3 linked regions of the Danio rerio genome follow. The protein of the gene in region 3 purifies or fractionates together with the protein of the main gene of each other region. This does not show direct contact. Links are inferred from orthologs where the notes say so. Each region holds a gene or a part of one and is shown on either strand. Other genes may lie near its edges.

The links.
Region 1: the proteins of med18 (region 3) and cdk19 purify together in Homo sapiens (affinity purification with mass spectrometry; 5 studies listed by BioGRID and IntAct, counting the BioPlex papers as one, with this or other methods). This does not show direct contact. The link is inferred for Danio rerio from reciprocal best matches to the Homo sapiens genes MED18 and CDK19.
Region 2: the proteins of med18 (region 3) and cdk8 purify together in Homo sapiens (affinity purification with mass spectrometry; 5 studies listed by BioGRID and IntAct, counting the BioPlex papers as one, with this or other methods). This does not show direct contact. The link is inferred for Danio rerio from reciprocal best matches to the Homo sapiens genes MED18 and CDK8.

The regions. Positions count from the first base shown.
Region 1 is NC_133195.1:3,039,629-3,043,944, forward strand, and holds the start of cdk19 (cyclin-dependent kinase 19), read right to left. Parts: upstream 2,863-4,316; 5' UTR 2,735-2,862; coding exon 2,607-2,734; intron 1-2,606. Other genes in the region: amd1 (S-adenosylmethionine decarboxylase proenzyme), read left to right, coding at 3,948-4,057.
Region 2 is NC_133199.1:25,415,364-25,419,018, reverse strand, and holds part of cdk8 (cyclin-dependent kinase 8), read right to left. Parts: intron 3,321-3,655; coding exon 3,159-3,320; intron 191-3,158; coding exon 65-190; 3' UTR 1-64.
Region 3 is NC_133191.1:7,708,711-7,712,796, reverse strand, and holds med18 (mediator of RNA polymerase II transcription subunit 18), read left to right. Parts: upstream 1-1,170; 5' UTR 1,171-1,436; coding exon 1,437-1,509; intron 1,510-3,281; coding exon 3,282-3,835; 3' UTR 3,836-3,982; downstream 3,983-4,086. UniProt on the Homo sapiens protein: Component of the Mediator complex, a coactivator involved in the regulated transcription of nearly all RNA polymerase II-dependent genes.

The sequences.
Region 1 (4,316 bases), on a different chromosome or scaffold from region 3:
GAAGGTTGCTGGTTCGAACCTCGGCTCAGTTAGCGTTTCTGTGTGGAGTTTGCATGTTCTCCCTGCCTTCGCGTGGGTTTCCTCCGGGTGCTCCGGTTTCCCCCACAGTCCAAAGACATGTGGTACAGGTGAATTGGGTAGGCTAAATTGTCCGTAGTGTATGAGTGTGTGTGTGTGGATGTTTTCCAGAGATGGGTTGCGGCTGGAAGGGCATCCGCTGCATAAAAACTTGCTGGATAAGTTGGTGGTTCATTCCACTGTGGCAACCCTGGATTAATAAAGGGACTAAGCCGACAAGAAAATGAATGAATAAATGATAAAAGACAAAGTCTGACGCTTTCCTGAAAAAAATGCTTGCTGCAAACAAACAGCGTTGCTGTATCGGCCCGGACAGGATCAGGGGGGAAAACATGCAACAAACCCTGTGGGTCATGGAAACAAACATATACGACCTGTGTCTCACCTCTGTCATTGGGTTTCCCAGCTTGGCAGTTACTATTAGCTAAGCGTAAATCATTAAATTAGGCCTTGTCCATTTCGCCTCTTGCTTTCGTGACCGTCACCTAGCAACGGCTGTAAACAAAACAGCAGCTCGATGACGCAAGCGTACCGGGGTTCAGAAGGAAAAAACAGTGTGAACACAAACCAGCTTAAGGCTGTTTATACTTCTGCATCAAGCGCACGCGTATGCTACAGCACAGCCTACGCGCTGACGCATAGCCCAACGCCGTGGCCATCGCTGACACGCACCTCTCAAAAAATGGAACTACACATCGCAACGACATGTAGCGCAAGCTCTGGGATTGGTTAGCTTGGAATCGCTGACAAGTGTGGGCGGGACCGAGAGCTGTGCGAGGCCGATGAAGCGATTGTTTACAAGTGTGGAGTCCCGTGATGGAGCTCCGGATGAAAGGTTTTGCTTTGTGTTTACCTTCCCTAGTAGCAAAGAATTCTGGCCCAGATTTGGCATAAAGCTGGCACAGCAGGCATTCATCCGGCACTGGCATACAGCATGTGGGCCAAACATGGCCCGGGTTTGGCAGAGGCGGCACACAAGATTTGGGCCAGATGAAAAACGTAGTATTTGGCCCAGATTTAAAAATTTGATAAGTGGGCCATGTGAGTTTGGCCAGTTTTGACCCACATTTAAAATACACTAAAATCATTTTTTAGTAAAGAAAATAAATTCTACCAATCAGGTCACTTTGAGAAAAAGCGTGCCCATAGTGTGCCTAAAGCGCATCACTCCATGGGTTTATCAATTTCATTGCAATCGTGACACACCAACCTATCTGGCCCAGTTCAGGCCCAGTTATGAGTTATTAACTTGGCTGAGACTTGGCCCAGATATGGTCCGTGTTTGGCCCTTGTCTGGAAGCCAGATTTGGTCCAGTCATGTACCGTAATTCACTGCGGCATGTGGGCCAAGCAAAACCTGATTGTGTGGGCCACAGCTGGGCCAGAGAAACTTTGCTATGTGGGTTATGATTAAAGTTGTTGCATGTCCGCCGGTTCCTGCCTCAAAATAAGCGAGTTTGAGCGTTCAGAAAAAACAAAACGCCAGCGAATAAACTCAACACAGAGGAACATTAACACCTCATTGCCGACAAGCTTTTCGGAAGTGTTATTGCAGAACATCAGAAATAGCGCGCAGAAGTATGAATGCACGGCTACGCGCGTTGCATGCGCCGTGGGTCACGCCGATCACTTGACGCAGAAGTATAAACCAGGCTGTACTCTCGTACTTATCAGGGGTTGCAGCAGCGGAATGAACCACCACAGAAAATAATATCACACAGATATTTAAAAAATTGGAGATGCGGTGGCGCAGTAGGTTGTGCTACTTACTGCATCGCCACCACATTTTCATCTTTTCACAAAGAAACTTTAGTCCTGTTTCGAATCTGCTGCTATGCTTTAAATTTAAAGTGACAGTAACCAAAACAGCATGATTTGGATCAAAGCCTAAAAGGGTCCATTTCAGAGAGATATAAAACATTATCTGTGTGGTATTTTGAGCTGAAACTTCACACACACACTCTAGAGACATAAGAGACTTATTTTACATCTTGTGTAAAGTGTCATAAGAGGACCCCTTTATTGAGCACACATTGACTCCTGTATAAATAAGAGCACACACACACACACACACACTGCAAGCACGTGAACTCGATCACAGATGCTCCATAAACTCCAGCACGCAAGAGCTTGTGCACTTATGAAGAAGTGGGCAGCTGTTATACTGCGTAAATGAGTATGTCAACTCGTGCACAGGTGAGCCTCTGAATTCCAGCACATGTAAACATGACATCTTCTCATCCGAGCACACAAACTCACAGTGGACTTCAAACGCATGCAACTTCTGGACAGAGGAACTGATTTGCAGTGAACTCCTGCACACAAGAGTGAAACATGCATCACGCTGGCTGGTTTGGGGGTGGACCGTTTGAAGTGCGTCCATGAAAACAAAAACAATCACACACACACACACGCAGGCTACAGAAAACAGCGCAATTCCCCCGACACATATGAAGCTCCTGCACACCCAGAGACAGCAGAAGCGCGTGCAGTGAGTGAAACGCGTCAATCAAACGCGTGTCTCTTACCCGTCTTTACGCTTCGCTTTATAAACATGCCCGTATGTGCCGCGACCCACTTTACAACCTTCATATTCAAACAGATCTTCCACTCTCTCCCTCTCGGCGGCGAGCTTCGTTTTGAAGTCGTAGTCCATTTTAACCCATAAATATTTCTTAATTTACAAGAAAATAAAATATTAATTATTACATGCATTAATTAAATGATCCGATCGTTTTTATTACCCCACCATTTCCTTGTTTGGGATTTTGGTCGGCTCCGCTTAACGGTCACGTGCTCGGTGACGTATTTTATTGTGGCGGGTTGCATTGTGGGGAGCGTAGTGCCGTTTGATGGAGCGCCAGCTCGAGTTGACGGCGGCAGGACATCTGAAAAACTACAGCGAACAAATCCTCCTTTCGTCTTTCCACTCTGATTCAAAACTAACATTTCTGAACGTTAGCGCTTGGAGTGTTTGCACAATGGCAGAAAAAAAGCTTATAATAACTAAACATAATTAATAAAATGTGTGGAATACATAACCTAACAGTTTTTTTCTTTTTCAAAGAGAGTGCTAGATAAATGGGAGTCAATTATTTGTGCAGTGGCTCAGCGTTATTCACCTTATTCTCAGCTGACGAGCGGGCGCTGCCATTTGAATCTTTTTGTCTCGCGACTTCCGGTCACATTCACTTCCATTCATTTTTTGACGTTAACAACTGCACGTTACGCTGCTTGATGTTGCAATTTAATATTTTCTTATTATATTATGCTACTTGGTCTGTGTAGTCATGCAAACATTTGTTTGTTGAGCAAGTAGTTTGGCCATTTTCTGTCGTTTATTATTCCTAGTCATTTCTCCCATAGGCGACTGAATCGGAAGTTCTAAGACAATCGCGAAAACAGGCGCACTTCCGCATTTTAGAATAAGGTCAATAGCAACGCAAATGTTTGCTCATCTATACAAGGACACACACTCACACACGCGCTACTACAGCGTGAACTCATACTTTTACGCAACATCCCGCTTGACTGATATCCGTTCAACCAATCGCTGTAGACCTGAGGGTGGCTCCCTCGCCGCGATTGGCAACGACGAGAATGACGTCGTCGGGTAGGTAATAAAAGCTCCGCGCAGACTGCCGTTCTGCGCTTACACAGTATGGCCGGCGATATTAGCTAGCACTCGCCTACGGTATTCTCTGTAAAAGGGAAGACGGTAAATACAAACAAAAAAATAAGGCAACTACATCTGGACTGCTCAAGGACTGTAACTAAGCTATTAAGTTATAACCGCCAACGAAGGACTACATAATTTGTGATTCCATCCGACGGTTTATTTTCTGTTGTTGGAGTCTGTTTGTCTCACGATGGAAGAGAGCAGTGCACACTTCTTCGAGGGGACCGAGAAGCTCCTGGAGGTGTGGTTCTCCCGGCAGGACGAAGCCAAAGGAACCGGGGATCTGCGCACAATCCCTAGGTGAGTGAGTCCGTCCGAGCCGCGGGTGCCTCGGGCGGAGCGGGGCTGGATTTCACCGAGCCAGACGCTCCGTTTGGGGCTTAAATCGTGTGTGAAACGCTGTGATAATGTCAGGAGGTCTGGCGGAGTGACATGTGGCGCAGGCTCTGACACCCGTGGCGTGATCAGCACTTCTGGCCGTTTTTGACACCATCCCCCTTTAGACTCATTCATTTCAGCTGTCAGGACTGCAGCTCAACTCCAGCCCCAGCGAGCTGCC
Region 2 (3,655 bases), on a different chromosome or scaffold from region 3:
CACACCCTCCTCCCTAAGTACATTCTCCCTATTGGGCACTGTGAGCGGAGGGGTGTGGCCTGACTCAGTAACGATGGGTCTGGTGCGAGTACTGTGGAGGCTGCTGGGAGGTAGAGGAGTATCCCATGCTGCTTTGGGGCAATGATGTGCTTGGTCCTGGGTTCTGGTAGGCAGCATGTGGATTGGAGCGCTGAAAAACAGAGATTAAACAGTGTTGGTGACATACTGGGTTTCCAAAACAATTGTGGAAAAGAAAAAAATTGGGCATAAAGTTTGTTTAAAAGAATAGTTCTCCAAAATAAAAAAACTTTAAAAGTACAGTATGTAAGTTTGACACCCAGTGGTTAAACTAGGTACTGCACTCCTGGATCAAAACAGATTTTCATTTGGCTCCTCCTCTGGCAAATCCGTGCGCAGGTTGCCAGAATGAAATGTGCCTGACTATTGAGCCTAAAGGCTGATTTTCACCGTTTTCCAACTAAAAGCAATGGTATGCGATAGAAGGTATATTTTCTATACTAAAAGGAGCTTTTGTCCAAACCAAGAACTGAAATTTCTATTTTAGAAACAGCTTCTATTTCTCACTGGTTAATAGCAATCAACTTAGGGTACTCCTCATGTGCTTTATTCACTGTCAAATTCTAATTATGCGAGTTTGAATGCCATTTTACAAGACATTTATTGCCATACTACTGAAAGCAGCAGCAGACAGTTCACCTCAGATCTCGAAAATAAAATAAACCGTTTGATACTGAACTATACAGCTGTGACTCAGTGGAAGACAACACATATTAGTGATTCAGCATGTACATTTAATAATGTTAAATAGGTTTCATATGTATCAATTTAATTATAAACCTTACCATTACGCTGGAGTGCAGTGCGTGCACTATTCTGTGCTTCTGAATGGCTGTATTTAAATTACTGTTGTTTTTCATCTGGTGCAAACAGCCAAATGTAAATCTCTTCACATAGTATGTTGTTAGGACACGGTTATACAATGTATTCTGCTCACCTAATGTTTACATTCCTAATCTTAGTATTATTTGCTAATTAAAAGACACCTCGTTGATCTCTAAATCTGCTACTGTTAACCGGAGGTTGCATTTCAGTCGCAGACACATGCTTAAAATATAATTAGGCAAACTGGGACTGGGCGGGTGAAAAGAACCAAAACAAAGACAGAAGTTCTGGCACATTTTTAAAGCAGAATATCTGACTGTAGCATTGTGTTTTAGATAAACAAAAATCTTCACTTGGCATGTTTCTTAATTATCAGCAAACATATTATTGTAATTGTACGCTTTAGAAGAGTAAAAAAAAATATATATATATTTATTTATATATATATTTATTTCTTATATACAGCATCCTTAAAAATGTTGTTTATTTACCCTCACACCGTGTCCTAACTGCATGCGATGTGACAATATTGCAGTGATAAGCAATTTGTCTGTATGCACTAAACGCAACAGAAACATTTAACTTTAGCCACTCAGAAGCACAGAACAGTGCACCAGACACCCAATAAAATATTAGGGTTTTTAATTAGAATATGAATTTTTTCATTGTAGTATCGTACAACACAATTTGTTTGGTAGCTTTTAGACTCTGACAGCAATAAGAAATATAGAACAAATAAACAAAAGTATCAACAATAAATACTTATCAAAACTATTCAACATTATTAAAAGTACATGGGCAACTGAGTAAATGATGTTGCTGGTTTGCAGTCAAAGTTCTCACTTTCATTTTCAAACTATTTGATAGTTATTTTATTTAAGGTCTGTGGTAAAATATGTGCTTCTGCTTTCAGTATGGCAATAAATGTCTTATAAAACTGCATTCAAACTCACATGGGTAGACTTTGACAGTGAATAAAGCTCGTAATCAGTACCTGAAGTGATCATTGTCATAGTAGTTTATACTGTTGTTCAGGCACAACATCGCAACAAATGGAAATAGAGTGAAATTTTGTACAACATCTACAGACGGTTCGGACAAAAACTCTTTTTACATGGAAAAGGAAGTGCATAAAGGGCATAAAGTCAATTGCTACTGGCACTTTGAGAGCTAAAAAAAAACATACACAAAACAAAATACACAAGGAATGAGGATTTTATGAAGAGAATAAAATCAGGCCACATAAGTAAAATATTGTTCCATTTCTTGCACAGACTGATTATTTATAAGGCCTTGTCGTATATTTAGGAGCGCAAGTAATAATTTTGTGTTGCCTGTATATTTTTTTGAGTGCCTGAAGCTACAGATTTGCATGTAGAAATCACCAAAGACAAAATCTTCTATAATGTTCTAGTGAAGAAAAAAGCCACCTACATCTCAGATGAAATGAGGGAGCATAAATGAACAGCAGTTCATTTTTGGGTGTACTTTCCCTTTAAGATCCTAAAGCTTGCAACCAAATGGTTGTGTCAATGTTTTGAATGCAAAATTTTACTAGGTGGTTCATTTTAGTTTGCGGTAAGGATAAAAATGAATTGAAGAGTGCCAAAATTAGAGTTCTTGTCACTTTATGATGAATTACTCTGTATAAAAATATGTGCTAATTGAACAGATCTAAATGAAAAAGTGCTAAAATTACCAGTAAATATGCTGTTTCTCTGGATTTCATAGATTTATTAGGTATAAACTTGAGTTGTATTTTAACTTTATTAGTCCTCAGCATTTAGTTTTAAAGCATATTTTGACAACTAGTCAGAATAACCAACATGTTCATTTATTGGGGTTGAAAATGAGGCCTAAATTTCCCCAAAATTAAATTAAATGAAAATTTCACCAAAAATGTTATCTTCTGTAAATATAAAACTTGTAACGTGATGTTTAAATTAATATAAAAAATGTTATATTGTTATTAAATGCAAAAAAAAAAAAGAGTCTGCATATTTTATATGTGGAAGAAATATAATCATCGGTTTAAAAAAAAAAAAGTTTTATTTAAAGGCATAACTACAGTAATAAATTAGTCTTTGTTGCATACAATATCAAAAAAGTGTCATGTATATTACAAAGAAACAAAATTGTCTGGAGAAACACAAGATTCATCAGTTATTTGATTATTACGACTGGTGGGCAACTTGCAGCAATTTTCTAGCCTGTCTGTGAAAATGAAGATGAATGTGTGTGTTTTGAGGCGTTACCTGGTAATCTGAGGTCATGATCAGGCCACTTGAGGTAGTGGTGGGCGGAACCACTCTCACCTTCTTCAGAGGCGGGCCTTGTGCGTGGCTGTTGTCAGGGTTACCTGTGTGCCCTGCCCCATTGGTGTGGTTGTTCCCCTGCTGCTGCTGCTGCTGGTTTTTCTGCGGTTGTGAGACACAAGAGAAAATACTTCTCTTAAAAAAACAGTAGAAGATCTCCAAATCATGTCAAAATGAATTATGCAGAGTGGGGTATTTTTTCTTTTAAATGGTTGATTAAATAATAAAATATTAATTTAATTCTAAAGGTCCTGATATACCTCAAGCATATTCAGAAAACATATTGGGTTCTGTTCTTCATACATGGATCACTCAATTAGCTGGATTTGATTATTTAATATTATTTGATTATTTAACAAGATCCAGAATAGTTCCATTCCTCAAAACATATCTGAGAGTTGTTGTCAAAGCAACAGTTCAAAAATCTGCTCATCAGC
Region 3 (4,086 bases):
ACATGTCGATTTATTTTCAAAATAAACGTCACAGTGCATTTAATGTTTTCCACAATAAAAGTTACTCGACTGCTTTGCGTTCATGGTTCATACCATTGGTTCATACGTACGTACTGCATGTAAATGGTAAATATGCATGTTTAAGCTATTTGGAAATAATATGATATGAAATAATAACAATTATTAAAACAATATAATTTTTGGAAAATATGCTTAACGTGAGCTTATAAAACTAGGTATTTATGAGAAATGCACATAACTAAGAAAATGCTAGAAAAAATAAATAATAAAATAACAATATAATAATAATAAATGATGATGATGATGATGATAATAATAACAATATTAATAAAAAAAGTCCTGCCAGTGCACTGAAACGTATAATATACTTAAAGTAACTTCCCTCATTGACTAAATTTTGACACAAAATATAACTTCATTCATTCATTCATTCATTCATTCGTTCATTTTCTTTTTGGCTTAGTCCCTACAGGGAGGGACATTCAACATGCAAAATCCAAACAAAAACGCCAACTGACCCAGACGAGGCTCGAACCAACAACCTTCTTGCTGTGAGGCGACAGCATTACCTACTGCGCCATATGGAAAAGTATACCATTTACTGTCTTTTTCTTTCTTGTATTTAATTAACCAATTAATTTTGAATGTATTGTTTAAAGTTTTAAAAAATGAACACCGATAACCCACCATTGCATTTTTGTTTACACATAATTTTCCATTTTAAAATAGTGATTTCCATTACTCCATAAAAAAAAATATATTGTATTTTAGGAATAGCCTAATTATTTCTTCATGTAGGACATGTTCCAGGATAGATGTCACTCCATGATTGCATTGGCAAAATCACACCCACCTCTTAGAGCCATTAGTTTTTCTGCAAGCAAACACCTTGACTTGAATTTGATCAACAGGGCAATCGGCTTTTCGCAACCATAATTGATGTTCTCCTGCTATTAATAATAGGCTAATAATACTCAATTTTAATACCCATTTTATATGATAAAGAGTTCACTTCAGTCCAGTAGGTGTCACTAAATGCACGCCTAAAAGAATAGAGCAAGCGTTGCACAATGCGCATGCGCAGTACTCGCTATCCATACTGCGCATGCGCTTTACTCACATGGACGCAGTTTCATCGAGACACATTATTTTTTCGTAGTATTTTACGCAAATCATTAGTTTTGTTTATTGCTTTTTGATACAAGTACAATATATGCTATTTTTAATTCATCGTCTGCCTGCTTTTTGTTGATAATATCTTCTAACACGTCTTAGCATGTCTATTGTTGTGGATGTTTTCTACAGCAGTTAAAGTTCTAGTTTAAGTTAATCTTTCAACTGATCGTTGACTGTAAATGTATTAAGAGACTTAAGTTCAGAATTATAATACTAGTAATAGTAATAATAATAGAGTGATGGAGGCTCCGCCGGTTACTGTGATGCCCGTCACGGGTGGAACTATAAACATGATGGAGTATCTTCTGCAAGGTAAACAACACCATCAGCACAACTCCTTTTACCATTCATTCATTCCTATTTATCATTTGTTACACTTTATTAAATAGTTTTAACTTAGTTTTTAAATACCCATTATGAGCAATCTCAATTTTTTAATTAGCAAAGTCATTTGAATAAAGCGTTGAATATGTTAAAGTGAATATGTAATTATAAACAATACACACACATTTTCTAGCGTTTTAAACTATTTTTATTTAACGCACCCTAATCTTCTTTAATTCCTTAAGACTTTTAATTTGGGATTCTGTATAATAAAAACATGTACTACAGTATTACTTTATGAATGTGCTAACGTTATATAAAACGAATAGTTTAGCATAATAATAGTATGTATACAATGTATTCATTGTAGTGTTTGTAGTATTATAATTTACAATTGTTATAATTTAAATTATACAATTATAGCATGCACTGTGCTACACGAGAGTTCTTTTTGCTGAGTCTTATTGTTTGCATAATATAGTTTGCTTATTTGGTCATATATTACCATTCCTACTTAAACCGTTACCAGATTTGTGTGTGTTCGGAGTAAATACATTTTTAACAAAATTATACAGCTAATTCATAAAGTATAATCAATAACACTTTCAAAATATGGTCTCATTAGTAAATCTTAGTTCATACATTAAAACAAAAAGCCACAGTGAGGGATATCGACATTTATTACAGTTAATAAGTTAATGTAAGTAAAAAAATACAACTGAAATGTATTATTTAATAACTAAATTTATTAAAACAATTACATCTTTTTTTTAGTGACTTATTAAGCATTAACTAAGAAATTGACACCACATTGCGAGAAATTGTGACATTACTTGAGACAAATTAGTCACAATTACAATTTTATTTTTATTGATGTATAGGAACAGGCTTAAATTATCTATCTATCTATCTATCTATCTATCTATCTATCTATCTATCTATCTATCTATCTATCTATCTATCTATCTATCTATCTATCTATCTATCTATCTATCTATCCATCCATCCATTCCCCTATCTATCCATTTATCTATCTATCTGTCCGTCCGTCCGTCCGTCTGTCTTTCTGTCTGTCTTTCTGTCTGTCTTTCTGTCTGTCTTTCTGTCTGTCTATCTATCTATCTATCTATCTATCTATCTATCTATCTATCTATCTATCTATCTATCTATCTATCTATCTATCTATCTATCTATCTATCTATCCATCCATCCATTCCCCTATCTGTCTGTCTGTCTGTCCGTCTGTCCGTCCGTCTGTCTATCTGTCTGTCTGTCTGTCCGTCCGTCCCTCCATCCGTCCCTCCCTCCATCCATCCATCCATCCATCCATCCATCCATCCATCCCCCATCCGTCCATCCATCCATCCATCCATCCATCCATCCATCTATCTATCCATCTATCTATCTATCTATCTATCTATCTATCTATCTATCTATCTATCTATCTATCTATCTATCTGTCCGTCCGTCCGTCCGTCCATCCATCTAATCTTCCATCCATCCATCCATCCATCCATCCATCCATCCATCCATCCATCCATCCATCCATCCATCCATCCATCCATCCATCCATCCATCCATCTATCTATCTATCTATCTATCTATCTATCTATCTATCTATCTATCTATCTATCTATCTATCTATCTATCTATCTATCTATCTATCTATTTATGCCCCTAATCTATGCATCCATCCATCCCACCCCCTATCTATCTATCCATCTTGACTTGGCTGTGTTCTGTTGGTTTGTTTGGCACAGGCAGTGTACTGGACCAATCTCTGGAGAGTCTCTTGCATCGCCTCCGGGGCCTGTGTGATAACATGGAGCCTGAGAGCTTTGCTGATCACGAGTTGGTGTATCTCCTGAAAGGTCAGCAGGGCAACCCGTTCATCCTGCGTGCCCGCCGCTCGCTCCTCGACCCCTCCGTCCCCTGGCACCTGCGCTATCTGGGTCAGCCCGAGGTGGGCGACAAAAGCCGTCATGCCCTGGTGCGGAACTGCGTGGACGTGGCAGCCTCGCACAGCTTGCCTGACTTCCTCAATGAGATGGGCTTCCGCATGGACCATGAGTTCGTGGCCAAGGGTCAGGTGTTCCGGAAGGGTGTGATGAAGGTGGTGGTGAGCAAACTGTCGCGTGTGCTGGTTCCTGGAAACACGGATAACACGGAGCCGCTCTCTCTGTCGTATCTTGTTGAGCTGAGCGTTCTGGCTCCTGCGGGACAGGACACTGTGTCTGAGGACATGAGGAGCTTCGCAGAACAGCTCAAACCTCTCGTTCACCTGGAGAAGATTGATCCCAAAAGACTCATGTAGAGAACATGACCTACAGACTGAGATTTTTAATTCGGTGAATAGGTGTTAAGACTGCATTTATTTGGAATATTTTTGATGATTGTTTTCTTTTTTTGTAATTGATGAAATGCTAATTAAAATCTTTAAATAAAAATATTCATTCATTCATTCATTTTCTTTTCGGCTTAGTCCCTTTATTAATCCGGGGTCGCCACAGCGGAATGAACCGCCAACTTATCCAGCAAGTTTTTTACGCAGCGGATGCCCTTCCA